4 linked regions of the Pelodiscus sinensis genome follow. Each later gene encodes a partner of the first gene's protein in a complex. Links are inferred from orthologs where the notes say so. Each region holds a gene or a part of one and is shown on either strand. Other genes may lie near its edges. The genes, in order: NDUFAF1, ACAD9, ECSIT and TMEM186.

The links.
Region 2: NDUFAF1 (region 1) and ACAD9 share a complex: the UniProt entries of both Homo sapiens proteins name them as parts of the mitochondrial complex. The link is inferred for Pelodiscus sinensis from reciprocal best matches to the Homo sapiens genes NDUFAF1 and ACAD9.
Region 3: NDUFAF1 (region 1) and ECSIT share a complex: the UniProt entries of both Homo sapiens proteins name them as parts of the mitochondrial complex. The link is inferred for Pelodiscus sinensis from reciprocal best matches to the Homo sapiens genes NDUFAF1 and ECSIT.
Region 4: NDUFAF1 (region 1) and TMEM186 share a complex: the UniProt entries of both Homo sapiens proteins name them as parts of the mitochondrial complex. The link is inferred for Pelodiscus sinensis from reciprocal best matches to the Homo sapiens genes NDUFAF1 and TMEM186.

What each region holds. Positions count from the first base shown.
Region 1 is NC_134714.1:64,361,796-64,369,547, forward strand, and holds the start of NDUFAF1 (complex I intermediate-associated protein 30, mitochondrial), read right to left. Parts: upstream 3,001-7,752; 5' UTR 2,844-3,000; intron 2,836-2,843; exon of another isoform or gene 2,582-2,835; intron 2,389-2,581; exon of another isoform or gene 2,303-2,388; intron 1-2,302. Other genes in the region: RNA polymerase-associated protein RTF1 homolog, read left to right, coding at 6,293-6,370. UniProt on the Homo sapiens protein: As part of the MCIA complex, involved in the assembly of the mitochondrial complex I.
Region 2 is NC_134721.1:48,473,678-48,481,066, forward strand, and holds the start of ACAD9 (complex I assembly factor ACAD9, mitochondrial), read right to left. Parts: upstream 3,013-7,389; 5' UTR 2,954-3,012; coding exon 2,828-2,953; intron 269-2,827; coding exon 175-268; intron 1-174. UniProt on the Homo sapiens protein: As part of the MCIA complex, primarily participates in the assembly of the mitochondrial complex I and therefore plays a role in oxidative phosphorylation.
Region 3 is NC_134729.1:12,699,244-12,707,053, forward strand, and holds the start of ECSIT (evolutionarily conserved signaling intermediate in Toll pathway, mitochondrial), read right to left. Parts: upstream 3,012-7,810; 5' UTR 2,907-3,011; intron 2,328-2,906; exon of another isoform or gene 2,207-2,327; intron 2,119-2,206; 5' UTR 2,005-2,118; coding exon 1,888-2,004; intron 1,333-1,887; coding exon 930-1,332; intron 45-929; coding exon 1-44.
Region 4 is NC_134726.1:10,777,273-10,784,942, reverse strand, and holds TMEM186 (transmembrane protein 186), read left to right. Parts: upstream 1-4,791; 5' UTR 4,792-4,919; coding exon 4,920-4,922; intron 4,923-5,214; coding exon 5,215-5,943; 3' UTR 5,944-7,158; downstream 7,159-7,670. Other genes in the region: PMM2 (phosphomannomutase 2), read right to left, coding at 344-435, 1,624-1,700, 3,851-3,962, 4,647-4,715. UniProt on the Homo sapiens protein: As part of the MCIA complex, required for efficient assembly of the mitochondrial complex I.

The sequences.
Region 1 (7,752 bases):
CTCCAGGATTGAACTCACAACTGGGTTTAGCAGGCCAATGCTCAAACCACTGAGCTATACCTCCCTCAGTCTACCTACCATTATTAAGCATCACTCAGCCACCTCCATCCCTAACAGACCCACATTTGGACTAAGGATGTTAAGAAGCAGGTAACTGACTAATAGTGTTTGGATACAATTTGTATCGACAGCACGATTCATCCATAAGAGGAAGTGCGAGCCTGAGCTACTTCCTCTGCAGCTCTGCAGTTTAAATGTAGTAAGTCGGGCATGCAGGCTGCCCAGCTCCTATTACATTTAAAATTCAGAGCGACAGTGGAGGTAGGTCTGGGACCCAGCCCGAACTGGGACTGAGCAGTCCTGGATTGCATCGGGTCCTGGACTGCTGTGTTTCTGCCTTCCCCACTCCACCCCTCTGCAGTAGAGAGACGGTGCTGGGAGGAACTGGATTTTAAGCCATCCCCCATCCCCCAACACCAGCTCCTACTCCCCCCTTGCTGCCTCTGATACGGGGGAAAGCGAGTAGTGACTGAACTAGTCATTTACATCCCTAATTTGGACTAGCACCATAGAAGTGCCAGGAAGAGTTAAATTGTCTGAGTATTTAAGATGGCACATTGCATCCCAAAACCTGAGCCTCTGTCCCCCAACTCCTAGTATGACAATCTTTCCTTTAGAAGAAAAAAGGATGTTCTCTGTAATCTTTTTAGACTCTCCTCCCACTAACACACACATTCTTTTCCTTCTATTTCATATCCCTAATGTTCAAGGCCCCATATCTGAAATTATAATGGCTAACTAATATAAGTAAACTAGACTGGATTGCACTTGCTATAGCAATTGGCCCGACAATTTTAAAATATATTATTTCCTCTGAGATTCTAAGACAGGAAGATTTCAAGATAAATATTATCAAAGTGCCAATAAGATCCACATGATGGTTGTACTTGTTCTTTCCCCTTGGGAATTCTTAAATTACAAGTCCAACCTCCCTACCACAGAGTTTCTTCTGGGCATGGATGTTCCATATAATTCAAAGTTTAAAAAACTGTGTGGAACATAATTAGGACTCTTATTTCCAATCTTCTGTATTTGCTTATTCCCCAGTCCTTCTCAATTTTCCCTCTTTTCCCTTTTTACTTCTCCTTTCCTTGCAGTATCAGAAGCAGTGACATAGGAACAATGAGCTTAAGTACAGAAGCATTGTGCATGTGGCACTGACTGCATCAGGAAACTAGATCAGTTCTAACTAATTTGCCATTTGACCCTACTGTCAACTTCAGCACTAGCATTGTGCTAGTCCACAATAATTGTTGCTAGTTGTCCCACAGGAGTCTGCCACCTAATCAATTATATGTCCAGGCAGCCAGTAACAAACCAAAAATTAGAGAGCACTGCAGAAGAACACGCGTGTCAAGACAAGACAAAAGTGTTACTTATCCAGCACATAACTTGTGGGACAGTGGAGAAATAGATTGTAGCATTATCATTATCCTCATTTCCCATGTTTGCTTCTTGACAGACCAAGAGATGCATGTGATAGCCTCAAATCATTTTCAGGACAAGGAATTCCCACATTTCTGTTCAATCCAAGAATGGCTGGTAAGGAAAGCCCTCATGAAGTAAAGATCGTCCCTAAAATAAAATACAGCTACCAACTTAGAGAACTGTCAGTCCTAGCAATGTTATGTAGCCCTTCTGAAATGCAGTGAAGATTAATAATTTATCCTGGTCCCCCACAGGCTTTATCAATGATTTATCCTGGTCCCCCACAGGCTTTAGAGAGGGAGGATGGGCACGTATACTATTCATTCTATAAATACATGGCAGTTCTGAGTGATATCCACTTGTGCAAAAGCATGTAAAGATGAATCTAAGAGGCAGACTATTCATAAAGACTGCTATAAAACTTCGAGTCAGTTAAGTAGAAATGATTTGCAGAAGTTTTTGTAATTAAAATCTGAGTTCAGCACATAGATCAATGGAGGGCTCTTTTACTCTTTATCCAAAATATCACTGATGTTAAAACAAGAGAATTTTAAGCAATTTGACTAAAAACTCTTTGTCTCGAGGCCTCGGTTTTTACTCTTTTGACTTTTGTGATGCCGCCATTTCCCCAGTTTCCTGGTCACAATAGAATTTTCAGTGGAAGCAGGACCCACATTTCCAAAGTAAAACACAAGCACCGAAGGGGAAGGGTGAAAATACTATTTACAAAATAACAAAGTTTTGTCCTTCCCTATATAGATCACAGAGAAGTCAATCAGAACAAAAGTCCAATTTAATCTTCTTTGCGGGTTACCTTCAAAGTTTGTACGGGCAGGCACCCGCTGCCCAAAGTCTCTAGGTGCCGTCAGAGACCTCTGGAGAGCGGGAGATCTTCCGAATCTGCAGAAGCGTGTAGGGACGCGGCATTTGGCGACTATAAACAAGTGCACCCCCAGCCGCATAATCCCCCCGCATTCACCTCCCCCTTTCACGCACAAGCGCTCCCACCCCGCTCCCCTCTCATATGCGTTTTAAACTCTGCCCCTATGTGGGTGGGCGGCACGACACAGCAGCAAGCGGCTCCGCCATTTACCCGTGAGCGTCCAACGGCCCCATCGCTCCCAGGCCTGCCTGAACGCGGCTCTGCACCGTGTCACGACTGCGAGCAAGGGCGAGCGCCCGCCCGGCCCCACGCCAGCTCGCTGGAGGACGCCAGCCTGCGGGCGCTGGGTCGCTGCAAAGGGGAGACGGCCGAGGCCTGAGCCAGGAGCCTCCCCCCCAGACCAACCCCGCTCCCTTTGGCCGCCCGCTGCTCCCGAGCGAGCCTGTCCTGGGACCCCCGCCCTCCGTCTCACCTGACAGCGGACACCGCAGGCTTCCCCTCACCGCAACCGCTTAGCGACTGGGTCCGCCCCCATTCAGCCGCCGTCAGGGGAACTCCGGCCGTGTCTCAAAGGTTCCGCCTGGCCCTGAGGCGCTACAAAGCCTCGATGCTCACAGTTACACCCGGCGGATTCCCGCCTTAGACTGCTGCTTGGTCCCATGCTCGTCCGTGTCCATTCAAAATACAGCTCCCTTTGCCAGGAAGCAGTATTTCCTACTGGTTGGAGCAAGTGTAGGTGTGGGCTATTGTCCTAGCCAGTGGCACTTAGAACACTTACAGAGAGAGAATGAGTTTTTGCTACAGCCTTAGCTGGGAGCCTGCTTATGCACTAAATTCTAGAGATCATAGGTTTAGTTTTGCCTGTTACAAATAGGGGCTGGTCTGGGATTTCAGTTGTGCCTCTGAAGCCCAGAATCTGCTTCCCTAGGGGAAGTATGTAACCCAGACACCTTTTGGGTGTGGTGTTCTGTCTAATAGTGGCACTAACAGGGTTGCCAGGTGGCCGGTATTGAACCAGACAACCTGGTATTTGTACCTTTTGTCCGATAACAAAACTACTGGACATCTAAAAACAGACTTTTTTCCCAGTGCTTTTTGTTGGGGGGAGGGGAGGTTGGTATTTTTTGTGAAACCAGCTAATAACCCTAGGCACTTAGGGTACCGCTACACAGTAGAGTTAAAGTCAAGTTAAGCTATGCAACTTCAGCTATGTCAATTGTGAAGCTTAAGTTGAAATAGCATTGTCTACACAGCAGGAAGTCAAAGCAAGTACACTCTTCCTTCAACTTCCCTTACTCCTCATGAAATGAGGGTTACCACGAGTCAGAGTAAGAAGTCCTCCAGCTTGACATTATATCGAAATAAAGACTTCTAGTGTAGACGCACACTGTTATTTCAGAATAACATCAGTTATTCCAAAATAACACTACTGGGTACACATACTCTCTGAGAGAGAACAAATCAGTTTTCTCTACAGCCTTAGATAACAGCCAGCTAACTTTTAGTTCAAGTGGTATAGGGGATCATGCACTAAGCTCCCAAGAGCCCAGGTTCTGTTCCTCCTGTTGGCTTTACATAAGGGTTTGGGGATCAGCATTCCTGTTTTTTTGTCCCAATCAGCACCACTATCTCCAATGTGATCTTGAACAAGTCACTTGTGTACTTCAGGTTTTTCTTTCTTAAATGTTTCCTACCCCACAAAGAGCCAGGTAGTGGAGGTTAAATCTTTAATCCTTGCAAAGTGTTTTGAGATCTTCGGCTGAAATTTTTCATAAGATATGTCAGTGCATATGAGTGGTTAACACTGCCTGATACTCAGTACAGGCAAATTAACATTTCAAAGAAAGTGTCCAAAATAAAGACAGTCAGAGTTAACATTGTTTGGAGTACTATGTCTTTGGTACTTCCCAATAATTGTTGTTTGGGACTTTATAACATTACCTTACTGTTCCTGGCTTTCCAAGCTATTATTTAAATGTCAGTGAAATTTAAAGGGTTCACCTTAGGCTATATATTGATTTACAATCTTAACTATAATGATTCTTAATAACAACCATTAGTCCTTCCTTAGCTAAGCCTATATACAACTAAGAAAATGTCTTTACAACTACAGAGACAATGAGCTCCACACAAGTGGAACTTGTGTTTGTGCAGAGCCTCTTGAAGAATCAGGGGTGACCTCAGGAGCCAGTCTGGAGAGAAAAGTGAAGGTGTTCTATCCACAGATTTCTGATGAACAGTAGTGAAATAGTTTACTATGTTGTCATTTAAATTGTTGCTCTTAAATTTTAGCATCAACACCCCGTTCAGAATAATAAATAATTTTTACAGCACACTCAAAACCAAGTTTTTCTTTCCACAATCTCCACATGTAATGGACAAGTAAATAGACTTTGTTCAGAGAATATTAAGGTTTGAAAAAAAATGGTTTCTTCTCTCCCGGCCTGGCAACTTGCCACAAAAATGTCCTCAAATCATTGCAGGTAAACAATGGAACACAATTAAATTGTTAAATTATATTAGTGACTATTTTAAATCTCTATTTGCAGCCTTAGAAATGTCAAATTAGTCCTTCAGATAATCGGGTTTGCCAATTACACTAATTACAACAGGGCACAGTAATGCATGATTGGTTGGTACTGCTGTATATCTGCTCTCTAAAGATGTCAGAAACATGATGTGCATTTATCTGTACTTTTCTAACTCTAGTGTCAAGGAGTCTGAAGAAATATGTAAATCCTAAAGCTGCTGACACTTAGGTGAGAGTCTATTTTAGATCAAGTGAAGGTGACCTCTGCTTTTAGAACAGAAGGGTATAGTCTATTGTCCAGGGGCAAATCTTGAATTCTGTCTTATTTCTGATATGGTACCCATTATCATAGTATGATAGCTGAGCACCTCACTCAGTCAAAACTCTCTGAAGCCCATGGGAAATTCGCCTAGCTATAATCTCAGTGAGGACTTCAAGTTGTAGCCCCATATGTATGGCTATCTTGTTGTTTTGATCTGTGTATGTTCACGGTTAGCTGCAGCATATTAAAATGTGATTTTACTAAGTGTGCTGCAAACCCGCTTTTATGACTGAACTCATCCAAAGGGAGTCAGTTATAATTTAAAAACAACAATATACATGTTGCCCTCATTTCGGGACTGCTCACTCCTGCACTAATCATGCCAATGGGAGACAGATCGCTGAATTCCATATTTCAGCGGAAACAAATTCCAGCCCCTGAGCCCTAATCCCGAAATAGGCTCTGTCACATAATTCTTGCATCCCTCAGGAGGTCAATGGGGCTTTATACCCTAGGTGTCAGTGCTTACTATGCTATCTAGTCAATTTCAAACCTCGGTTCAAAGTAATTTCGAGTATTATATATACATACACCTTTGTCGTTTGCCCCACCTCCTCCCCCCGCACGCGCTTTCGCGACGTCACGATCACATTTTCCTGTGGTTTTAACGTTTCCTCTCCCCGGTTGCTGTATGAAAGCTCTACCCAGACACCGGGCCCCTCAGTGGGGTAGGGAAGGGCAGTGAACGTGTCTGCGCTCAGAGCGCTGCCCTGAGACACCAGCTCGCCCTTCCTGCAGAAGGAAGGAGAATGTATTTCTCCGCAATCCCTGTCGGCCGCAGTTACCCCGGGGGACCCGAGGCAGACGGCTCGGCCCCTACGATCCCACGGCGCCAGCTACGGGTGATACCGCGTCCCAGCCAGCAGCCCCGTACGGACACGTGCACCCAGCCCGGGCCCCGCCCCCTCGGCTAGTGGCTGCGGAGGCTCCGCCCCGGAGGGCGGGGCGACGCGGGGCGCATGCTCGGTGCCCTTTGTGTCCCGGGCGCTCGGGCGGCGCGGGGGAGGCCGAGCCGCTCTCAGTGCCGCACAGTCCGCGGGCCCCTCAGCGCGGCGGGGCCGGCTCCGCCATGGTGAAGAAGCGGAAAGGCCGGGTCCTCATCGACTCCGACACCGAGGACAGCGGCAGCGAGGAGAACCTGGATCAGGTGCGGAGCTGAGCGGGAGGCCGGGGCTGGGGCCTGGGCTCCCTGCTCGGAGCACACGGCTGGGCGCCACTGTGCCCCCGCCGGGGCCAGCCGGAGCTCGCCCCGCCCTGCCGGGGAAGGCCTCGGACCCGCCTCCCCGTGCGGGGATGGGGTCCTGATCGGCTTCCGGGCCCGGGGGAGAGACCCCCGGGCGTAACGCACAAGCAGCCCGCGGGTGCTGGTAGAAAACAGCCCGGCACCTGGGGCGGCGGGGGTAATAACAGACCCGCTAAAGCCCTGGGCACAGGTGTCAATTATGGTGCTAATCCCATGGGGGTAATCATACAAATCCATGGAAACCTTGGCATCGATTTGGACCAGGATGTGGGGCAGAGAGTAAATGTATGCGGCGGCGGTGTTGTTGTTCAGGCTCTGAGACGAGATCACTTGTAAAGTCCTCTCTGTCACCGCTAGTTTTACTTGCTAAGGAAAGGTGTTAGCGTGTTTTGTTTGGAAAGTGACGGTCTGAGGGTCACTTATGTGGTTAAAAGTTGGAGGGAGTTAGCTGCTCCATCACCCATTGGACCTGTAGTCCCTGGTGCTGTCTCTATAGGAGGAATGTCACTCAGTTGTTTATGTTTGTCAGATTTAGGGATCATGTGGCCTTTACCTATAGATATACCAAAAACGGCAAGAGCAAGTGGAATATACTTAAAGGAACAGTTAATTTTCTAATTATATTTCATATGTTAGGAGACCAATTAGGGGGAGATAAATACAGCCAGGTGCCTTCTCTCTACTGACCGTCCAGCACAGTATGCCTGTAGAGGGTCCAGATTGGCTACTGTGGGAATTATTAATACAAATTCATTAGTTTCCACTTAGCTTCAGTGATTGAATCTGGGGGGCTCAATTGGTGGGGGATTACTTGAGGTTAGGAGTCCAGAAATACTAATGATAATGTTTGACATCCCTAGAGGAACTTGAAAGATAAATATGATGCCTGGCATTAATTTAAGTGTGTGAGAACTTCAAAGAGAACATGGAAGTTAGACTCTATTTCTTGTACTCTGTGGAGGTGACTTTGTTCAAAAGACTTTCCATCTTTTTAATTATTCTTTAATAGTGTCTGGTGTTGTGATATGTAAAACTTATAAATTCTGTACAGTATATATTATAAATCATGTAGGGAAGTTCATCCCTTTGGGTATCTTGGCTAAATATTCTTAAGTATTCAGATGTGACGTGGATGCATGTACTTGGGTCATTAAGTGGTAACTTCATTAGAGAAGCTTTTGATGTGTTGGGAAATAAAACAGAAATGTAAATGAACTTTTGTTGCTTGGCGTTTTGGTAAAAGGATAAAGAAAGAACATTGCCTGGAGACTGAATTCCTCTTTGAC
Region 2 (7,389 bases), on another chromosome or scaffold:
TAAATTATTCTTCTATTTCACTTTTCTCTTTGCACAAACCACAAAAAGAGAAATTGACAATGCAAGGGGACACAGTCACTGTATACACAAGTCACGATAAATGCCCAAAAGTTTTTTTATTTTAATTATAGTAATAAGAAGCCATTTATGTAGAAAAAAAGATAATAACCATACCTTCTTCATTGAAGAACTTTTCTACTGGTCCTACAAACTGGTTGATTTCTTCTAATTCTTCATTAGAAATCTCTGGATAAGGGAAAACTTCCTCCTAAAATGTCAGTTTTTTAATATGATTAAGTTTATTTAAAATAAAGAGCAGGTTCAAGAAAAAACACATGGCTTTTAGATGATGATGTCTTAAAAAAAAAAAACCCAAAAGAGCAGAAAATGTTTACAGGAATTCAGATAGTCTCAAGTGAGCAAACTTATTTACAACTTTCAGTAAGTGAAAGATACTTGTTCTGTATGGAAAACAGTATTTTTCAATTATATTGCATGCTGAAACAAACCAGAAACAGCATCTGAAAATGAAAAACTGGAATGAAGAAAAAAAATTTGATATGTAAGGAAGTGCGCCAACAGGTGAAGTGAGCTATGAACAAGTGCACTGCTTTCATCCCCAAAGGCACACAACTATTAACAAACAATCAAAAGTTTAACATGTGCCTCTGTTGCTGCCTGTCCAACAGTTCACTGAAATGTGGAACTGAAAGTGACCATACAAAAATCCTCCTTTACATACATCGGAGAGTAATTTATTTTTTATTTATATATAAATAATAATTTAAAAAAATCCTTACACAACTTGTTTCCTAACAATTGAAACGAACAAAAATTGAAGTGCAAAGCATGGTTGTACACCCAAATGTGATAACTCAGCAGTACAGAATCCAGGATCTTTGGACCTTGCACAATCTCCATAGAATACAGGATAACTTCTATAGGAAAAAAGTCTCAGAGGGATAGTTGTGTTAGTCTGTAATTAAAAAAAAAAAACAATGAATGGTCCTGTAGAAGCTTAGACACTAACCAAAAAAATAAAAGATCATATCATCAGATGGAGTGGGTTGTGCCCACAAAAGCTCATCATACTATACTATCTATATTTCTGGTTTGTCTCTAAGCTGCTACTGGACCATTCATTGTTTAAGTTTCTATAGGAAAGAAACTCAAATTTCAGAATGATTTCAACCTGTAAAAAGATACTGCTCTACTATTTGCTAAGCATCTAAAACAGGAGAAGGGAACCTCCAGTCTACCCAAGTCGCAAAATGGAATCCTCTCCTGCACCCCACCACCTCCCTCTGAGACTCTGCATCTAGACCCCAACCCTCTACTCCAGATTGGAACCCCCTTCTATACGCTATGTCCTGCCCACAACACAACCTTCTGCTCCAGCCCCGAGCCCCACTCTCACACCCTGAGCCCCTTGTTTTTGACCCCAGGCCTCCATGGGGCTGGAGCTATGAGAACCTGATCACCCTGCTGCAGTGGGAAGACCCAAGTCTCCCCCCACCCCTCCATGTTGATTTTTTCTGTGGGTCACTGGCCTCTGACAGGAAAAAGATCCTCCAGCCCTGCTCTAAACTATTCTTGACACTATAAATTGCAGACTATAAACAAAAGAATAGAGTCCCAAATTTCATAATATTACAATTTACATGACATAATAAAAGCATATGGAATATTTCACTGGTAAAAGGCGACCTCCACTTTGCTTTTTTTTTTTCTTTTTACATATAAACTCATTCCTTATAAATCCCATTACAGAACTGCTTTTTTTTATGAAGGACACAGATGAAGAAAGGCAGGTAGGATGGCAAATTAAACTGGGGAGAAAGTTCCATATAAAAGGGGAAGCCCCAGTCAATTGCACAGAGGTGCCAATCTAAGGAAACTATGAACACTGTAGCACAGGTGAAGAAAAAAATATGGTAACAGATTTAAGACCAGGGCACAGATATAAACCAGGATGAAATTGTGAAAGACTCTGAATTCAGACGGAACGAATTGGCGTCCCTGTGGACGACCTCAGGGATTAGGGTTGCCAGACGGTTTCAACAAAAATACTGGACGCACCTGACATTAAATCGCAACGTGCATGACACGTGATTTAGAAGATACGTTTCTATTTTCCCAATTTGTTTCCCAGACGAGGAAGCTCAAATACTGGAGTGTCGGGTTCAAAGCCAGGCACCTGGCAGCCCTGGCAGCGACCCAGAGGCGGGAAAGACACGTGCAGATGGACGGAGGCGGCAGCTCAGTGGATCCCCCCCCCCCCCCCCATGTGTGTGTAAACACGGAAGAGATTCAGCGGTGACATGTTTGTCCTCCCATAAACGCGTTTTAAGAGCCCGCCCACCAAGCAGCAGCTTCGCTCCGGAGCGTCCTGTAGCGGGGCGGGGAGGGGAGGGGAGCGCCCCAGAGGCCTGGCCCAGGCAGTGCGGGGAGGGGAGGGGAGGGGAGCGCCCCAGCGGCCTGGCCCAGGCAGTGCGGGGAGGGGAGGGGAGGGGAGCGCCCCAGAGGCCTGGCCCAGGCAGTGCGGGGAGGGGAGGGGAGGGGAGCGCCCCAGCGGCCTGGCCCAGGCAGTGCGGGGAGGGGAGGGGAGGGGAGCGCCCCAGAGGCCTGGCCCAGGCAGTGCGGGGAGGGGAGGGGAGGGGAGCGCCCCAGCGGCCTGGCCCAGGCAGTGCGGGGAGGGGAGGGGAGGGGAGCGCCCCAGCGGCCTGGCCCAGGCAGTGCGGGGAGGGGAGGGAGGCGAGGCCCGGGGGAGGCTCCCCAGAGGCTGGGCACACACGGGGGGGGGGGAGGGGCGGAAGTCCGGCCTCACCTTCCAGAGCTTCCCGAGGAAAAGCTCCTTGGCGTAGGCGCAGCGGGGGCCGCCAGTGCGCAGCTGCCGAGCCCCGGCGGGGAAGGCGGCGCGCGCCGCCCGCAGCAGGAGGCTGAGGCCGCTCATGTCCGGACGGTGCTGAGACACCCCCCCCCCGCCGCGGCCCGGCGCCCACAAACGTCGTCCGGGGCGCACGCTGATGACGTGTCCGGCGGGTCACCTGACCACAGGCGGCCGACGGAGCCTGAAGCGGGTCTCCTGCGCCAAACGGCTCCCTGCTGAGCCCATCCGCGCCCCCTGCTGGCCGCCGCCTGCCTGTCCCTTAGCTGCCTTCTGTGCCCGTCCCGCCCTGAGCCTGGGCACAGCTGCCCTGGGCCTGCTCTCTGCAGCCCCACCACCCCTCTGGCCCCTGTGGCTCTGCCCCGGGGTGATCAGATCCCAGGGCTGTGTCGACACTGGGCCACTTATTCCGGAAAATCAGCCGCTTTTCCGGAATAAGCTGCGAGCTGTCTGCACTGGCTGCTTGAATTTCCGGAAAAGCAACGACGCTCTACTGTACAAAATCAGCCGCTATTCCGGAAAAACTATTCTGCTCCCGCTCGGGCATAAGTCCTTATTCCAGAGCACTGTTCCGGAAAAGGGCCAGTGTAGACAGCCCAGTAGTCTTTTCCAGAAAAAAGCCCCGATCGCGAAAATGGCGATCGGGGCTCTTTTCCGGAAAAGCGCGTCTACATTGGCCACAGACGCTTTTCCGGAAAAAGGGCTTTTCCAGAAAAGCAGCCTGCCAATGTAGACGCTCCTTTTCCGGAAAAACTGAAAACGGAATAGTATTCCGTTTTAAGCAGTTCCGGAAATTCATGCCAGTGTAGACACAGCCCAGTTGTCTTGTCTCGCTCTGCCTTTCCCCAGTGCTGCTTAGGGCTGGTTGCCCGATGGTTTCAATGAAAGTACAGGACACACTTAATGACATCGCAATCTACATGACATCTTATTTAGAAAATACCAGACGTTTATATTTTCTCAATTTGTTTCCCAAACAGAAAGCTCAAATATTGGACTGTCCAGTTCAAAACTAGACACCTGACAACCCTAGGTATGCCCTGTTCAAAGTACCCCTACTAGGCTGCTTGGTCCCTCTTCCTCCAGAACTAGAGCAAAGATAAACACTCACTGCATAGCAGCCCTTTTATACAGCCCAGCTGGGCTGTGATTGGCTGCATCAAACCTCCTTCCAGTTGGCTTCTAAGACAGCCCTCTCCCACAGTTTTTTTTAAAATCCCTTATAAACCAGAACAGAGCAACTGCCCCATTTCAGTCCCATACCTGAAATGCTGATCTTTTTCTGGACGTGCAGCCCCAAACTGAAAATGGAAGTTTATATGCTCCAGCCCTGCGTTTGCCACAACTCTCAGTTTTGGCACCCCATTTAAGGTCACTCTATCCTATAATCTTGATGTCATTTTGCACTGGCTTTCAGGAAAAAAGATACAACATTCTCTCTTTTTTTGCTTAAGTAGTCTCTCCTCACCTTAAAGTAATTATTAAGAAGAAAAAGTGATGTGATAGATGTTAGAAAACTTTTAACTTGAAATCTATGACCTCCATCACTTTATCTCACTTCTCTTTAAACTCTGTTCTAGTTCTAGCCTTCACAGCCTCCTGCAGCAAGGAGTTCCACAGGTTGACTCTTTGCTTTGTGAAGAACAACTTTCTGTTACTAGTTTGAAGCCTGCTACCCATTCCTTTCCTTTGGTGTCCTCTAGTCCTTCTTTATGGGAACTAATGAAGAACTTTTCTTGATGCACCCTCTCCACCCCACTCATGCGTTTATAGACCTCTACCCTATCCCCCCTCAGTCTCCTCTTTTCTAAATTGAAAAGTCCCAGTCTCTTTAGCCTCTCTTCATATGGGACCTGTTCCAAACCTCTGATCATTTTAGTTGCCCTCCCCTCTCCTACCCTCTCTCTTCCCCTCTCCCACCTCCTTTTCCCAGTCTTCCTGAGTTTTGTTCAATAAAGAGAGATTCTATTTTTGACCACACGTGTCCTTTATTTTGTACATCAGGAAGGGGGGCTAAGGAAGGGTAAGTGGAAGGAGGTGAGGGAGGAATGGGGTACGAGCCCCCGATGGGGAGGACTGGGCTGGCTCTGCGGGCTTCTGGGGGTGGAAGCTCTCCTGCAGCCCCCCAATTGCCCCCTCTCCCCAGATGGCTACCTGCGGCAAGTGCAGCCAGGCTGATGGCCGAGTGCTGTGATGTGCCCAGTGTGGGTACTCCGGGCAATCCAAGCCAGGACTGCTTTGCAAGTCCGGGGTGGGGGTCGGGTCCCTTTAAGCACAGCCCTTGGCTAGCCTGAGGCAGCAGCTCCACGCTCTAAGTCCTCATCTGATGCCCTGCCGGCACTGCTTCCGGCCATCCTTAACCCCGGTTCAGGGTCCACTTAATGTGGACATGCTAGTTCGAATTAGCAAAACGCTAATTCGAACTAGTTTTTAGTCTGGATCCGTTAGTTCGAATTAGCTTAGTTCGAATTAACTAATTCGAACTAAGTTAGTTCGAATTAGCGCCGTAGTGTAGACATACCCTACGAGTCTATGAGAATTGACAACTTTTTTTCTCCATTTTTTCCTCTTCTCTTTCCGTCCCCATCCCCTCTTTTTTTGCTATTTATTTGCAACCCGGACTCCTTTACTCCATTCATCTGAAGAAGTGGGTTGTACCCACAAAAGCTCATGATGCCATCTACAATTTTTGTTAGTCTCTAAGGCTATGTCTAGACTGCAGGCTTCTTTTGGAAGAAGCTTTTCTGGAAGAGATCTTCCGAAAAAAATTCTTCCGAAGGAAAGCATCCACATTGCCAAAGCGCATCGAAAAAGTGATCTGCTTTTCGAAAGATAACAAGCATACTGAATGGACGCTCTCTCATGTGTAACCTGTGATTACTATGGGAGGAATGGCCAGCAGGAAGCCTGTGTTTTTTCCTCTTTCATCTTCTGGTGAAAGAACTCCCTCTTCCCCGTCCACACATGCTTTTTTCTGAATGATCTCTTTCGGAAAAAGGTTTCTTCCTCGTAGAAAGAGGTTTACCAATGTTGGAAAAAACCCTCAGTTCTTTCAATTTTTTTTTGAAAAAATGTGATTGCAGTATGGACATAATTGAAGTTTTTTCAGAAAATCTGCGATTTTTCTGAAAAAACTCTGTAGTGTAGACATATCCCAAGGTGCTGCAGGGCTATTGGCTGTTTTTTAAGTTTTTTCAGGGTAAGGGATTTCACTTTCTATAGCTATTCTTTTTTACATAAATATGAAGATAATACAGGATTTAGGGTCCCGGTAAGAATCTGAAGTGCTGTAGCTTTCTGGGAATGGCTCATTTCAGCCAAGGTCAACCCACCTGTGCTTATATGCACCAGCCACAAATCAGAAAAGTATCATTATTCTGGACAACACTTCAGCAACTTAAAGGCACTCCTGAACCTGGCCCTGAATTTGTCATTGCTTGAAGAGAAGCTGGTGTTTTCAAATGTTTGTGTTTTGAACAATTCTGTTACATTCGCAGTAATAAAGCAACAAGACACCACTATGGTAGAATTTCCACACATAAGGAAGGGAAGCACATAAGGAAGGAGCTTTGTGGCAAAGCAGGTGTCTTGAAAACCTTGGGGTGAAAGCTGGACTTCTACTCACTACCATTGAGTCAAGATTTCATCCATGCTAGTGATTTCACACTGGCGTAAGTCAGGAGTAACCTCACTGAAGGCAGTGGAATGACATAGGTATAAAACTTGTGTAAACAAGATCAAAACCAAGCCATTGCTTTTAAGTCTGTAGTGGTAGATAAGGCTAAAGTAAGAAAGAAAAGGAGAGGACAGAAAGGAGAATGGAAGATCATTGTTAGTACAGAAAAATAAGTGATATCAACATTATAAGGAAATGACACCATAACTCATCAACTAAGGCCAGTATTCAGTAGCCAGTGTTATTTATTTGTTTAGTGTGGAGTTGAATGTTTTAAGAACATATGTGAAGTTTGCAAGCAGTTTTTTTTTAATTTAGTTTAGAGAAAGTAAAATTTCAATTCAAGCCATAGCAACTTCAAACAATCCACTTGTTAAAAGATGCAGGCTAAAAGCTATCCGGATCTTAGTGTTCCTGAGGCCTGGAGTATACTCTGTCATTTACAAATATATATGAGATGGAAAATAACAGGGAAATATTGTATAAGCTATGTTTTCTTCTTTATCATTCCTATCTGCTTTTGGCATATGAGATAGGAAAGTGGGGTTGATAGGCCATAGCCAATGTGTTTCAGAGTAACAGTGCATGTCTAGGTAACGGTGCGCAAAACCAGTGTTACTGGGTAACAGTGCATGTCTGGGTAATGGTGCATGTAACCAGATTGTTACTGGGTAATAGTGCATGTCTGTGTTGCTGGGTAATGGTGCATTACGTCTTCATTCAAAGCTACTTTATAATAGGAATGAATTAATTACCTGATTCTTCTGGTCTGTTGTGATTGAAGCAGCTGCATATTGATTGCTCGTGCTGTTGCTTCAGATAAAAA
Region 3 (7,810 bases), on another chromosome or scaffold:
GATCTGGAGCAGCAGGAACTTCGTCTGGTTGTCGGGCATGATGCCTGCGTACGTTGGGAGGGAGACGAGGTGGAGATGGCACATTCACCCGCCCTCGCCACGGAGTAGGGATGCACACGGGCGACCCTCTCTCCCCTCCGTGCAAGGCTGCTGACGCCAAACCCGCGAGGGCTCAGGAGCTGGGAGTCAGCAGGTTCGCATCCGGCAGGGGGAGAGAGGAGGGCTGCTGGCAGGCTGGGAGCCAGCAGCCACCTTCCTCTCCCCTCCCCAGGCTGCCAATTCCCAGCCCAAATAGACCTGGGGGGAGCAACTGGGGGCAGATCCATGGGGCCCGGGGGGGAGGCCAGGGGGGCAGATCCATGGGGGAGCTGTGCCTTGCAGGGGGGAGTGATACAGGGGGTTCTGTAGGGATGGTGTCCCAGGGGGTGAGTGGGGGAACCAGATCCATGGGGTGGTCTGTGCCCCAGGAGGTGGACAGATCCATGTAGGGGGAGCCGGGGTGTGTGTCCCAGGAGCGGGTGTTGGGAGCAGCTGTTGGTTCAGGGAATAGAACCCTGGAAGGCTGACCCTCCCCCCCCCACACACACACACACACACACTAACCACTAGATCGTGCTCCCTCCCGGGGGTTGCTGGGTTGCCTGGGGGGAAGGAGAGGGGGGGCAGGAGAGACAGTGCTGTGGGGAGTGGGGAAGCCTCCCTCGTGGCCCCACCCCCTTTCCCCAAAATTGCCAACAGCCCCCACCCCCGGTTAACCAGTCAACTAAACAAGTGGGATTTTACCTCCCAGCCATAGAGGGACAAACATGCCCCGTGCCGACTCGTGGAGACAGCGGTAGAGCCAGTGAATGTGCCGTCTCCATCGCTCACCCGCCTCTGACTCCCAGCCCAGCCCAGTCGCCCACACTGCTGCCCATCCCCATCCCTACCATAGTTCTCCATTTGCTCCAAGACGTGGATCCCACATTCCTGCTGCCTCGGGTAGTGGTTGAACATCCGCTGGATAAAATTGCGGGGCACAAACACTTCCTTGGGGAACACGTCCAGGATCTTGTTGTAGACGTCGAGCTCCCGCTCCACCCCAAACTGCGGCATCTTCTGGAGGGCCGCGTAGATGAACTCGATGTGACCTCGCCGCCGGACGTCCCTCTGGCAGAAGAGTTCCACCGCGCGCGTGAAGGCGGCTTTGTTCCGCTCCCCCTTGCAAGCCCGATCAAACAGCTCCTCCAAGGGCACCAGGGAGCCGTCACGGGACTCTCCATCTTTCTCCTGGTCCCCCTTGACTGCGGGGGTGAACTTGGAATGGCTCCGCACAGGCACCGGCCAGAAGCGCTAGCAGAGAAGCGGAGGCAAACAAGGCCTGTAGCAGCTGTCGTTTTACCTGGGGCTTAGAGTCCTCTGGCTGGGGTCAGGCCTGAGATCGGCACCACGCTGGCTGCAGCACCGTCCCCTTGGCTCTCGGGCGCTGGATCCTGGGTTCCAGGCCGGCTGCAGCGACCGGTACCACTCGCCGGCTGCTTAGCAGCCCATGTACAGTGACCCTGGCTTCTCCTGTCCACTGCACCGATCCATGGTGATGTCACTTGTATGGACAGGTACCGCTGCCCCCCCTTCTCTGCTTCCCGCTTCCCCCTCCCGCCCCCTACCTCATTTTCGCTCCCCCAGCTGCAGTGGGCGCTCAGCCCTTCCCACGATCATTTCCCGCCAGCCTCTGGGCAGCAAGGTTGGGGCAACCCAACAACAAGGGGGCAGAGAGGTTTACAAAGCTGCCCGAGGCGTCCGCCTGAGCCAGATTGCTTTGGACTGGCAGCTGCTCAGGGCAGCGCCCATGCAGAACGCGTCTCCCCCGGCGCCCAGCACCCTGGCCTGCCGAGGGACGCCTGGTACCTGGGCACAGCTGCTTCCCTGCAGCCGCAGGAGATCCAGCCCCGGAGCGAGCTGCCGCAGGACACCTGGTCTGGCAGAGAGCTCCCGGGCCAGGAGCAGCTTCCGCACACAGTTCATGGTGGGGTGTTTGTCCCACTGACACGGGGCAGGGGCCAGCTAGGGTGGGGCCACCGCTGCAGCTGGGAGAGTCAGTGTCATGGGGAAGGGGCAGCCATGCTGGGCGGCCAGGGTCTGCTTGACACAGAGAGAGGTGATGTAGAGATTGAAGCAGCGCAAAGGGTCAGGAAATCGGGGGGGGGGGGGGGGGGGGGACTAACACCTGTTCAGGCTGTCCCCACTCATGGCCACCATAGGAGTCCACACACGCCGCTTCTGTCTCCCTCCCCTCCCCCCTTACCTAGCTTCCCATTTATCCCCCGTGGGGAGACCACCCATCCCCCCAACATCCCCATCCCTGCCCACGTTTACTGCCCAGGTGCCCCCCAGCACCACACAGGCATGTCCCAGCCCCTGAACCCTCCTCCCCACCCCACACATCCCCCCACGCCCGGGCCATGCCCCCAGCCCCTGAACCCTCCTCCCCGCCCCACACATCCCCCCATGCCCGGGCCATGCCCCCAGCCCCTGAACCCTCCTCCCCACCCCACACATCCCCCCATGCCCGGGCCATGCCCCCAGCCCCTGAACCCTCCTCCCCACCCCACACATCCCCCCATGCCCGGGCCATGCCCCCCGCCCCCCCAAACCTCCTCCCCGCCCCACACATCCCCCCACGCCCGGGCCATGCCCCCCGCCCCCCCAAACCTCCCCCCCACCCCACACATCCCCCCACGCCCGGGCCATGCCCCCCGCCCCCCCCAAACCTCCCCCCCGCCCCACACATCCCCCCACGCCCGGGCCATGCCCCCCGCCCCCCCCAAACCTCCCCCCCGCCCCACACATCCCCCCACGCCCGGGCCATGCCCCCCCCCGCTTGGTTCCCGTCCACGCGCGCCCCGTGTCCGACCCGGGCTCCTCACCGCGCCGCCGTCTCCGCGGCCCCCTCCAATCCCTGCCGGGTCAGGGGGCGGGGCCAAGCACACGTGGCGCTTCTAAACCCCGCCCCCTCCCAGGCTCCTCCCCCGTCCGATCAGCCACGCCCCGGGCTGGGATAGAGTCATGCACGTGGGTCCTACTCCCCCACCGCAGGGAGCCCGGACCCCTGGGTCCCCTCACTCCCAGCGGCGGGGGGAGCCCGGCCTCCGGCCTCCTGCTCCCGGCTCCCCCGCGGAGAGGAAACGCCATTTGCTTGTTCCCATCACACTAGACGGCGGGGCCACCAAGTGAAGTGAATGGGCAGCAGGTTGAAAACAAACCAAAGGAAGTTTTTCTTCACTCAGCGCACAGTCAACCTGTGGAACTCCTCGCCTGAGGACGTGAAGGCCAGGACTTTACCAGGGCTCACAATAGAGATGGGTAGGGGTGGTGTCCCTAGCCTCTGTTTGTCTGGAAATGGGTGACAGCGGAGGGGGATAATTCCCTGGTGTGATCCCTCCCTCTGGGGCACCTGGGATCCACACTGTGGGCAGACAGGACACTGGGCTCTGACCCAGTGTGACTGTTCTTATGCTGTGTTTAAACGTTGGTTTCCCAGGCTGGGGTGAGGATGAATCCGAGCCTGGGAGCTGCCTAGCCAGGGCCATTCAGCCTCAGATGTGCCTGGACTGGCAGGTTCCCTGAGTCACTCAGGTAGGGCCAGGTGCAAATCCTCTCTCCCCACCCCACTCCACCCCACCTCACCCTCCAGGCATCTCTCATCCAGACTCTGGGGGAGGGAGACCGACCTGCAGGGAGGTTTGACAGAACCCACAGCCAGGCACAAGACTCTGTTATTATTTAAGTTCCTTCACCTCCATCCCCCAGATCAGGCCCCATTGTGTCAGGTGCTGTATAGACAGTCCCTGCCCCCACAGTGATGATCACTGTGAAGTCCGATCATTTCACAGATGGGCAAACTGAGGCACAGACATTACTCAGGGATTCTATAGCAGAGCCCGGAACTGAGGTCAGTTCAGGATGCGGCCCTGCCTTTGCCCCCCCCCACCCCTCCGACCCTGGATTCCCCTCCCCCACAGAAGGGACAGGGGCAGGGTTTGGAGACTGCTGAGGAGGCCTCCAACTCCAGCTTCATTAACAACACAGAGGACCATCATGTTCCTGCTTGATTTCCCCCCCAGTCCTGTTCTCTCCTTCGGGGCTGCTTGGCTCCATCCTCCCTCCCTCCCCCAAGCTGAGGCCCCTGTTGCTGTGCTAAACACCTGCCCTGCCCCTGCCCAGAGCTGGCTGCATCTCAGCACTGGGTATCTCTGCACGAACAGCCGCTGGGTCCCACCCCCTGGGTGACTGTACCTCTGGGCTGCATGAGCGATCCCAGGATAAAGACTCCACCCCAGAAGGAGCTGGATTGTGCAATCCCTTTGTGCAGGGCTTTGTAAGGCCTCCATCAGCGAGGGACTACGGGGACGCTGCCTGGGCAACCGAGGGAAGCAGCGGCTCCCTCTTTAAAGCACTGCACGCGCATGGCCCGGAGATGTGTGTATTGTCCCCATTGTGCAGATGGAGAAACTGGGGCACAAGGAGGGGCTGGGGCCTGTTTGTGGTCGCACGAGGGGGCAGTGTGAGAATGGAAACCCAGGCGGTGCTGGCCCTAACCACTAGACCCCATGCCCCTCTCAGCGCCAAGAATAGACCCAGAAGTTTGCCTCACAACCACCTGCTTTAACCACAGAGCAGCTGCGAGTTCAGGGGACAGCCCCGGGGTCCCCCCATCCTGGAGCTAGACCCCAGGCACCCTGGTCCTTAGCCCCACCCCCACCCCTCTCGGTGTCTGGCTCCCAGCCCCCCCTCATCTAACTGCTACACCCCACTGCCCTCCCCAGACAGTGCGAGCCCGCGGGGAGCGGACCCGCCCCTCACCTTCGAACCTGCCACCTGGCCGGCTCCCGCGGCGGGGGCGTGGCTAGCCCCAGAAGGGGCGTGTCCTGGGCCGGGATTGGTGGAGGCGGGGGGCGCTGGCCAGCCCCTCTGTCGGAGCCAGCAGCTGGGCGTGGGGCGGCTCTGGGCTGGGATGTGGCAGCTCCGCGGAACCGCCGCCTGGGTGGCCGCGGGTGCTCCGGGGTTCCGAGCAGCCGGCGCCCCTCGGCCGGGGGCAGCAGCGTCCCGGGTGAGTGGATCGTGCGAGCCTGGGGGTGGAGATCCCTGGGCGGGCTGTGACTTGGGGGGGACACGGAGCCGGGGGGGCTGTGACCTGGGGGAAGCAATTCGGGGCAGATCCATGGGGCCCGTGCCCGGGGGGGCAAGTGGGGGAGAGTCCGAGGGGGGCAGATCCATGGGGGAGCTGTGACTTGAGGGGGACACGGAGCCGGGGGGGCTGTGACCTGGGGGAAGCATTTCGGGGCAGATCCATGGGGCCCGTGCCCGGGGGGGCAAGTGGGGGAGAGTCCGAGGGGGGCAGATCCATGGGGAAGCTGTGTCTTGCGGGGGGGGGGGGGGGAGTGATTGACGGGTTCAATAGGAGCAGTGCCCCAGGGCGTGAGTGGAGGAACCAGATCCTTGGGGTGGTCTGTGCCCCAGGAGGTGGAGTTGGGGGGGGCAGATCCATGTAGAGGGAGCCAGGGGGGTGGGGGCTGTGCCCCAGGAGTGGGGGCTGGGAGCAGCTGTTGGTTCAGGGAATAGAACCCTGGAAAGCTGACCCCCTCACAACACTAACCACTAGATCCTGCTCCCTTCAGGGGTTGCTGGCTTGCCTGGGGGGAAGGAGATGGGGGCAGGACTGGCCCCACCCCCTTTCCCCAAAATTGTCATGCTGCATTGGGGAGACTGGGGCAAGACCCCATGAAATCAGGGCTCCTTTCCCATGGGGCTGCAGCATGCGCCCGGCAGACCCCACGGCGGCAGGGGGCTGCACCCGGCTGGCTGTTGAGCCCAGGCAGGGTTGGGCTGGGACAGCGGCTGCGAGTTTTGCCACTTTGTCAGTTGCCCACTTTGCTTCCTGGCCTGCCCAAATGCCAATCATTAACCCGGCGGCGGGGCGGGGCGGGCGCAGCGAGGAGAAGGTGGCAGGAGCTGGATTATTTAAGCCACATGCTCCACAGCGCTGGGGGTTTGAAACCTTGAATGGCTGAATGGGAGCATCTCCCCCACCCCCGCCTGTGCCCCGGGGCCACCCCGAAATCCCTTCCCTGCGCCCTGTGGTGCCCTCCTGTAACCCGCACTCCCACCCCCGGAGCTGGGATAGGGCCCTGGCGTCCGGCCCCCCGCTTAGGCCGATCGTGGCATTAGCCTATTTCCCCTCCCCCATTCATTCCAGATTTTGAAGTCAGCCACGTGACAGCCTGTGTGAGCCCCCCCCCCCCCCAGCCTAGCGTGAACCCAGAGATCTGGTGCTGGCAGCTGCACCCCGCAGGGCCTGGCCCAAGGGGCAGCAGCCTTTGTGACCCTGCTGTCCTGCAGCACCCTGGCCTGGCTCCGGCCCACAGCCGCTTTGTTCTCCAGCCTTGGCCGCTTGGCCTTGGCAGCGCAAGCAGGGGGCAATTTAACTGGAGAGCCTGTTCCTGTCGCCTCGCCCAGCCACGCGGTGCCTGCCCGCAGGCGCCTCGGTGGAGAAGGGACCTGCCCCAGCCCCTGCCCACCGAAGCGGGACCTGGAAAACCCAGCGCCCCCCACCCAGTGCTCTGCAAAACCTCAGGTAGCCACAGCCCCCTCCTAGCCTCCACTGCAGCACCGCCACTGGCTGGGCACCCCACCAATGCAACTGTTCCTCGCCGACTGGGCCATAGGCAGTCAGGCCTAGGGGTTGGAGCCACAGATCAGTGGCAGGCTCAGGCCTGGAGCAGGGATAATGGCAGCATCGGGGAGGGCTGCTGGGCTCAGAGCATGGCCCAGGATGCCAGGCGCTGACCATTTATTAGGTGCATTAGGGGCACTGGCAGGGCTGGGGGCAGGGCCAGGGCCAGGACCACCAGCACAGAACAAAGATGCCGTTCCTGCCCCAAAGACCTTCCAGGCCAGCCAATGCTGAGCCTAACCCCCAACCCCCAACCCTTCTCCCTCCCCTACCCCTAATGCTTAACCCCCAACCCCCAACCCTAACCCTTCCCTCTCCCCTAACGCCTTACCTCAACCCCTAACCCCCAACCCCTTCCCCCTCCCCTAACCCTAATGCCTTACCCCCAACCCTCTAACCCCCAACCCTTCTCCCTCCCCTACCCCTAATGCCTAACCCCCAACCCCCAAACCTACCCCTAACCCTTCCCTCTCCCCTAACCCTAATGCCTACCCCAGCCCTACCCCTAATCTTTCTCCGTCCCCTAATCCTAATCCCCAACCCTACTCCATCCCCTAACCCTAATGCCTAACCCTTAGCCCTAACCCCCAACCCTACCTACCTCTAGCCGCCAACCCTCAACCCTCCCCCTAGACTCCAACCCTCCCCTAACCCTAATGCCTAACCCCTAGCCCTAACCCACAATGCAACCCCTAACCCCTAGCCCTAACGCAATCCCTAATCCTAACCCTAACCGTTAACCCCTAATCCTCATGCCTAACCCCTAACCCTGACCCTAACCCCTAACTGTACCCAGGACTGCACCTGGCAGTGAACGGAAGCACGTATCGGCGTTGGTGGGATCAGGGCCGCAGTGCTGGACCAGAGGTGGAAGCAGGGAATGCGGGGGGAGGGGACAATGAGATGACGCTGCAGGCCACGCTGGACAGTGGGCTCAGCTCTACGCCATCATGCTCACGTGGTGCCCATCACTGTGGTATCTGGCCTGGTGGAGGAGGGCGGTGGGGTGAGTGAAATCAGGGCTGGGCACATCGGCGGATGAGGCTGGAGGTTTCCACGTTGGTTGTGGGGAACAGAGCAGCCCCCCCGGTGCCCCAG
Region 4 (7,670 bases), on another chromosome or scaffold:
CACTTCATAAGGAATAAAAATAAGAGGTATCCCAATGAGCACCCAATGTTCTGTCCATCTAGATTTTTATATTACAATTTGTTTTATGGAGAATAAACAATTCCCTGTTGAGCAACGTTGCATAATCTTTACCCATGATCCTTCACTTGCTCCAATAGTGGAGCTTGTCTTTTTCTGTATGGGATTGCTGAACAATAGCATACATCTCTCTCAATTATACAGTATGTACTCAAACACAATCCATTCATTTGTAACATGACTGGACAGTGTCTTCCCTACTGAAGATCAATACCCCAAAGCAGGAATACTCTCTTCCCTAAGTTATGCATGCACATATACCTACCTTTTCTTTGGCAGTTTAATCTTCGCAATGTAACTCAGACAGTAGTTGATTAGATCTTGGAGCAAGTCCTCACCCAGATGACTCTGAATGCTCTAAACATACAAAAAGACATATCAACTATAGATCCAGAATTCTGAAAGTAACTTATTGACAATACAGGTTTTAGATTCTCGTGTATAGCAGATGCCAGAAAACCAGGTCTTAAGTACGTGGTTCTCAGTGTATGTGCAGTACTGGTACTGTAGGCTCCCGTTCTCTACCTTAATTATAAAATGCTATGCTGCACAACTGACCACTTCTCACGAATGTTCCCTCTAATCCATGTGTGGAATAATTTTTGTTTTTTGTACTACCAATAGAAACACATGTTACCGACTGTGGGCACTTTGAGCGATCTGCACTCAGCTTACACGAACACTATCTCTCAGTATAACATGCTCCTCCATGCCCCTACTTCACACTGTGGGTTAGAAAATGCATGCTGAAATGGAAAGGAGTAGATAGGGGCTAGTACAGCTTAATTAAGTGCGGGAAACAGTTGCCAAATAAGTTGGGAACCGGTACCTTAAGATATGGGTCAGGTCCTGAGCTATTTTATTTTCCATTCTCCAATAGCTAAATTGAGGCACTGAAGATTATCACAATATTAGATTTAATCACCAGTATTTTCTCAGCCTCTTAAATTATTTCTAGCAGCTTATAAAAATACTCTACTCAATCAAGGCCACCCTATGTGCTAGCTCCTAAGCAGCAGTGGGGGTACATTCCACTGGTGGTCAAGGAAAGGAGATGGCTTTAAGCCACCCTTTCCACTTCCCAAGTCTCAGGCCTGTGAAGGACCAGCTATAATTTAGAGTAGCCTCAAAGGTGTTCTAAATGAGGCCCAATTGTTATAGAAATTCCATGAGTGGGCATCACTAGAGGTCTCCAGCCATGACCCCCATGCCAGAGAGTAGGAAAGATGTCACTCAGGAATTTTACGTGCTGGAAAAATTCTCTAGTCAAATCTACCAGGTTTTGAGCAGGGCAAACCAGGAGGTCTGAGGTAAGGATCTGGCTCTACATCTTGCGTCAATCTATAGATTTAAGAGAGGAGATGGACTGTCAATTGTACAAATAAAATTCTATATATAAAGCAATAATTTCAGACTATTAAATGATCACTGCAGCTGCAAAACAAGACAGGCAATTCTCCATGCAGAATTATGAGAATAAAAATCTTGTTTGAAAGATTTTAGCCTTACAATAATCAATTAGTTTATAAGATCTATTAAACATACCTGCTTGCACAACAACACCCCATCTTTGTATGAGACTAGACCATTTTCTGGAAAGATGTAGTCAAACTTTTCAACAACTAAAAACACAAACAAAAAATGCTGCAGTTTATATCTTGTCTTTCCTTCATTGTATGCAAACCTTTTCAGTACTAAATACATCAAAATATAATAATTTTAGAATAATAATAATTTTAGAATATTAAGCAGAAGCTATACACTTGTAATGTCTGATGAAAAACTTAAAGGACCTAATTCTGCAATTTCTATTTGTTCCTCCTTCTGAAGCCACTGGGATCTTACACCATGAGAATAGCAAGTAGTTAAGTTACATACATTTAGCATGAAGGATCTGACTCTATCCTTAGCACATTTAGTTGTGCTTTACTATTGTAAACCAGGGGTGGGCAAACTCAGGTGGAGGGGCGAGGGAAGTGCTGAAGTCAGGCTGTCTCCCTGCCCCTGTACCTTGTCTCTGCAGAGCAGGGGTAGAATAACACACTCAATCAGCAGAGCTGCTCCATTCTAAAGCGTGATTCAGAGGAGAGCAGAAGGGGGAAGAGAGACAAGACAGATTTCCTTAAAGAGACAGAGCGTGGCTGCTCAGAAATTTAGCGAGCACACATGCTCTGTGTCACTGTCACACACACCCAGTCTGTGCCACAATCTGTCACACAGTCTCTCTCACACAAAATGTCTCTTTCTGTAGCCCCACCTCAACCCCTTCCACCCAAGACTCCACCGCTTCCAGGGGCCCCTGGAACCAGCCTATCACCACATACCAAAATTTATGAAGTGCCCCTCCTGAAAAAATTATTGCCGACCCCTGTTGTAAATTGCCATGGATCCAGTCACCATTGCAAAACCTTGGAACAACAATCTGGACATAAAAATCAATAAGAGGACAAAGAAAAGTTTACTATTTGAGGGAGATTATTTTAATGCAATTCTACTTGATAAAAATGTGTGTGTTTTAAACTGAATTACAGGATCAAGTCTCCTTTGAAATATGTAAGTAGAATTAGGAGACAAAAATATGGTTCCAAAATGATAAATCCAAATGGCTTCTTCTGTGCCACGGACTATGTTTCAATAGGAAAATGTACAATAGGGATGTAAGTGACTAGTTGACTACCTGATAAGCATAGGCTTATCAGGTAGTCGAGTCACGACTTGCTCCTCTTCCCTTGCTGCCTCTGCAGCAAGGGAAGGAGGGAAACAGGAGCCAGTGCTGAAGAGAGGCAGAGGCACAGCAGGGGAAACAGCAGAGTCCCTTCCTGCGGGTCCCGACTGCTGTGCCTCTCCCTTTGAAATGTTCAAGGGCTATGGGTGGCTCTTGCACATTTCAAAGGGACAGGTGCAGCACTCGGGACCCCACATGAGCGGGGACTGATTCGGTCTTTGTTCGCACAGGTTCTCCACTGCACCTCTGCCTTTGAAATGCAACAGGTTAGCAAGTGCCCCCCCTTACAGGCTAATCGATGGAAATTATATCCACTACCTGATTAGCTGATTAATCGGAATGTTACATTCCTAATGTACAATACTACTATTTATTGTTCTACAAGTTGTATAATACGTCTACTGAAACTAAAACTCAGCCTTGGGATTCAAGTAAAAAAAAAACCACTATAGGATCAGTTGTGGCATATTCTAAATATTCTGCTTCAAGAAAAGCTGTGAAATCACATCCTTATTTGAACATCTGCAATAATTGTAATACTGCTGGAGATGATTTGGGGGTATCTGGCTCTTGCTAACTAAAAATCAGATGACTTCGGAAGGCCATTTCCAGGCCAAGTAAAACCATGATTATATAAAATGTTTGTCAGTATATATTGGGAATGCATAATTGTGAATTATGAAAGGCAATTAATACTGATCTTTCACATTAAAAACCTTACACAGAGTTAAAAAAGGGAAAGAACCAGATCTCAAAGGCACTATTTAATAAAAATCAGCTCTTGCGTGGATGAGCACATTAGATAAACTATGTAATGAGATACAAACAACTCCATTTTATAAAGATTGTTAAAATATATCTTAACTAACATTTCATGAAATCGGCGTAATATAGTAAAATCAGAGAAACATATTCAGAATAAGGAAGTTTGCATTTAATGAAAAATGACGTGACCAACTCTGGGAGAAAGGGATTGTATTTACCCATCAGAACTTCCTCATAAGGAATTCGTTTCAACTTGGATTGCTACATCTTTTTTTTTCTTACCATCATCTCCCAGCTGCTCTTGAATTTTTTCAAAGTCTGAACCACCTACAACTCCAACTTTCACCTTCTTTCGTAGCTTCTGCAGAAATTCTGCCATTTCTGCTGTGATTTTCTAGATTAAATAAACAGTTTATATTTTAAGGTAGTTAACTACTTTTACCATGAGTACCAGTTGAATTAAAATACAGTGCAGTGGGAGAAAGGTCACTGAGAACTAAACTCTGCAGGGTTTTAAGAAGCGATATAAGAAAAATTTTAAAAATGTCTATGAGAAAATATTCCCGGAAGGCAAAATCCCTTAAACAACAAGGAAGTCACTATAGCCTCCGGCTCGCTAATGGAGTGTTCTCCCTACTGCTAAACGTTAAAAACCCGCAGTGGCTTGTGATGAGCCTTCGGGGACAAGCCCCCCACGGAGCCAGCCCCTCCCCACCCGGAGCCCAGGGGCATCAGTAAGTCGGCGCAACGCCCGTGCGCGAGGGAGCGGCTCGCGCAGATCACGCAGGTTAACAGGTGGCAACGCTGCTCCTTGAGCCCGAGAACCAGGGAAGTTCCAGGTCCCCCCCAAACGCCAGCAACAGGCTCCGCCCCCAGCTCCCTCAACGGCCAGCGGGCACCCCCTGCACGCGACCGGCCGCAGCTCCCCAGAGCCCCTGCGTGGGGACACAGCCCGGCGGCTTCGCGGGGCTCTCTGCTCTCCGTGCCCGGCGGCCGGGCAGCAACCGCCCGCTCTGGCAGCCCAGGGTCCCTCCCGCCGCAACGCGCTCCACCCGCTCGCCCCCGGCCCTGGGCCCACCTGCCGGGGCGCGGTCAGGGTCCCGTCCACGTCGAAGAGGCAGAGGACGCTGCTGCCCGGCGCCGCCATGCTGCGGATGAATGAGAGGGCGCCTCACTCTCTTCCGGGTCTGCGCGACCCAGCCGCGGGGGATGCCGGGAGCCCAACAGCTCGACTGAAAGGCACCTGCGGGCCCCTCCCACGGTGCAACGCAGCAGCTCCGACGTACGCGGCCCGCGAGCGCCGCGCAGGCGCGGTGGCACTTGGGTCCTGGATCCACGTCTCTGTCTCGGGATGGTAAGGCCGGGCCTAGCTGGGCGCGCGGCTCGTGCCACGGCGGGTGGGGGCGGCACCCGGAGGCGGGGCTCGGCGCTGTACAGCGCGCGCGGGCGGGCAGGAGGGCGCCGCGCTTCCCTGGCCGCGGTGTTAGTGCTGGGGGCGCCTCAGGCCCGGGCCGGCGCTCGGCGCGCGAGGGCTCCCCGTTGCCTTGGGGCGAGGTTGGGCTGCGGCTTCAGGCGGGCTGGGCCCCGCGCTGGGCGGGGCTGCCGGTGCGAGGTGTGAAGACCGGGCATGAAACCTTCTCTTGTAGGCCGCGGTCTTCAAAACCAGCACTCGCCTCCGCTCCGCGCTGCCTCCCTGTGGGCGCGCCTTGCCGCGGGAGCCTTCGGCCAGACTGTGGCAGAGAGGAGACAGGTGCCGCCCCCGTTGGCTTGGGACCCCTGTGTTCTTACAGGCTCCGCGGTGGCGAGCGGGCAATCCTCGGGCGGGGCTGGCACAGTACAGATGTGCCGGTAGCTTAACCCCCACCAACCGAGGCTCGGAAAAGCCTGCGAGCCAGGACACGGAACAGTTCAAACTGGTCTACAAATTCCCAGGAATTAAATATTGTCGAATATTTTCAAGAATGAAGTTGTTACAGACTGCTCTGACCGTAGTCACCCTCCCTCCAGTCTATCACCTCTATCTGCAGGAACAAGTTTCTCAGGATTTTCTGTTGTATGTCACTGGCATTGCTTGCTTTGCTGCTGCAATGCTGTATGGTACAAGTTATTTTTTCAGACGAATGATTGGACTGATATACTTAAATGATGTTGGCACTATGGTAAAAGTGGCACATTTGACATTTTGGGGTCAAAAGAAAGTCATTTATTGTCCAATTGAAACTGTGATGCCCTTGGGTGACACTGGAGATGCCAAGAACGAAGTACTGCTTCAGTTTAAACAGCATAATAGTACACACATTTTATATTTTACTCTAAAGTTTGGCCATATTGTAGATAAACAGAGGTTTGACCAAATATTTGGAGGATATTACTAATACATTTTCCATTGATCTTCATGCTGAATTCAGAGCATAGTTTAATAGATGTATAAATACTCAAATCCGGAATATTACCATCCTTTTTTCGTACAAATCCTCAGCCAGCATGCACACCTGTGTTTATACAAAGGGCATACCTTGATGTAGTAACCACTAGACAGAAGTTTCTGTGTAGTAATTTCAGATGAAAGCTGAATCTCATTGCACACACACAACTATTATGTAAATAAAGCTAGTATAATACTCATGTCTGGTAACTTGCACTTAAAATTGGTTCACCTGAATGTGCAGTTGAGCTAGCAGGTAGTGGGGTATTTTTTTATGGTGCTTTCAGACTAGGATAGCAGCTAAAAATAATTTATTGGTAAAACTGAGCAAATGTAACTTGCTATCAGAGAGAACCATAGAAACCACAGCAGCATTTTTACTATCTCTTGTGAGACTTCACTTTCAATTTGTCAAATTTTGATCAAGAAAATTTTAATTTCTATTAACATGTAAAGTTAGTAAGTTATTGAAATTGCAAATTATTCCTGTAGAACTGCAAAGTAAGGATTATACTAGTGCAAGAAATGGTCATGAGGTGGAACCGCTTGCTCACTTGTGACCTTGGCTAGCAGTAACCGGGAACTATGCCTCTCACTTTTTGTAGCAATTCTTCTGTCAGATCAAAACTTAGTGTCAGTGGGATTCAGAGTAAGATTTGTCCAGCATTCAGCAATGGCTTGTGGCATTTTAACTTGTGTACATAGAGAAAAGGATAAATTCTGAACAGAAGTATATTACAGATTTGCAGAAGCTTGAAAAACATTTTCTTACCCTGAGCTACAGGCACTATCTAAGGTTATTGTAAATAAGAATTTTAAGCATTTTCAGTGCTTATGATTGATTTGGATTTTTTTTTCAATTTAACAAATTGAAACTCATTCATTTTCTTAGGCATAATATTTTAATATTTGGGTTGCAAAGACAGCAGGGAAATGGTTATTTTTAAACAGCAACTGTGCCCACAAAGGAACTAAATGGCACATCAGTTCAAAATATCCTTCCATTGACCGGACTTAGTTTTGATTGTGTACTGTAGATTGTACTTTTCACAAATTAAAAAAAAGTTGTATGAAGTGCTAACTGACTTCAGTTCTCACGTTGCTTATTGCTGTAGAATGACATGTAATGCAGCAGATTTATAAAGCACAGTATGCATTTTAATAAGTGTAATGGTTACCTTTATTATCACATGATGACATACAATGTCAACACAAGCAAATCTTATTGTACCGAGGGAGTTGTTTAAAGCTGCACCAGTTCATATAGCATTATGAAAGTTCACAGGAGAAAATCTTGCCTAACACCTCTCCAGCTATAGAATGTTCTGATTACAGAAGTAGTATGGCTGCATCTAAACTGGCAAGATTTTGCGCAAAAGTGGCTACTTTTGCGCAAAATCTTGCCACCTATCTACACTGGCTGCGAGTATTTGTGCAAGAACACTGACTTTGTAATGTACAAAATCAGAGGTTCTTGCGCAAACACTCCGATGCTCCCGCTCAGGGATAAGCCCTCTTGCGCAAGTATTCTTGCGCAAGAGGGCCAGCATAGGCAGCCAGCTTAATTTCTTGCTCAAGAAAGCCTGATGGCTAAAATGGCCATTGGAGCTTTCTTGCACAAGAGAGCATCTACATTGGCACGGATGCTTTTATGCAAAAGCAACTGTGCCAGTGTAG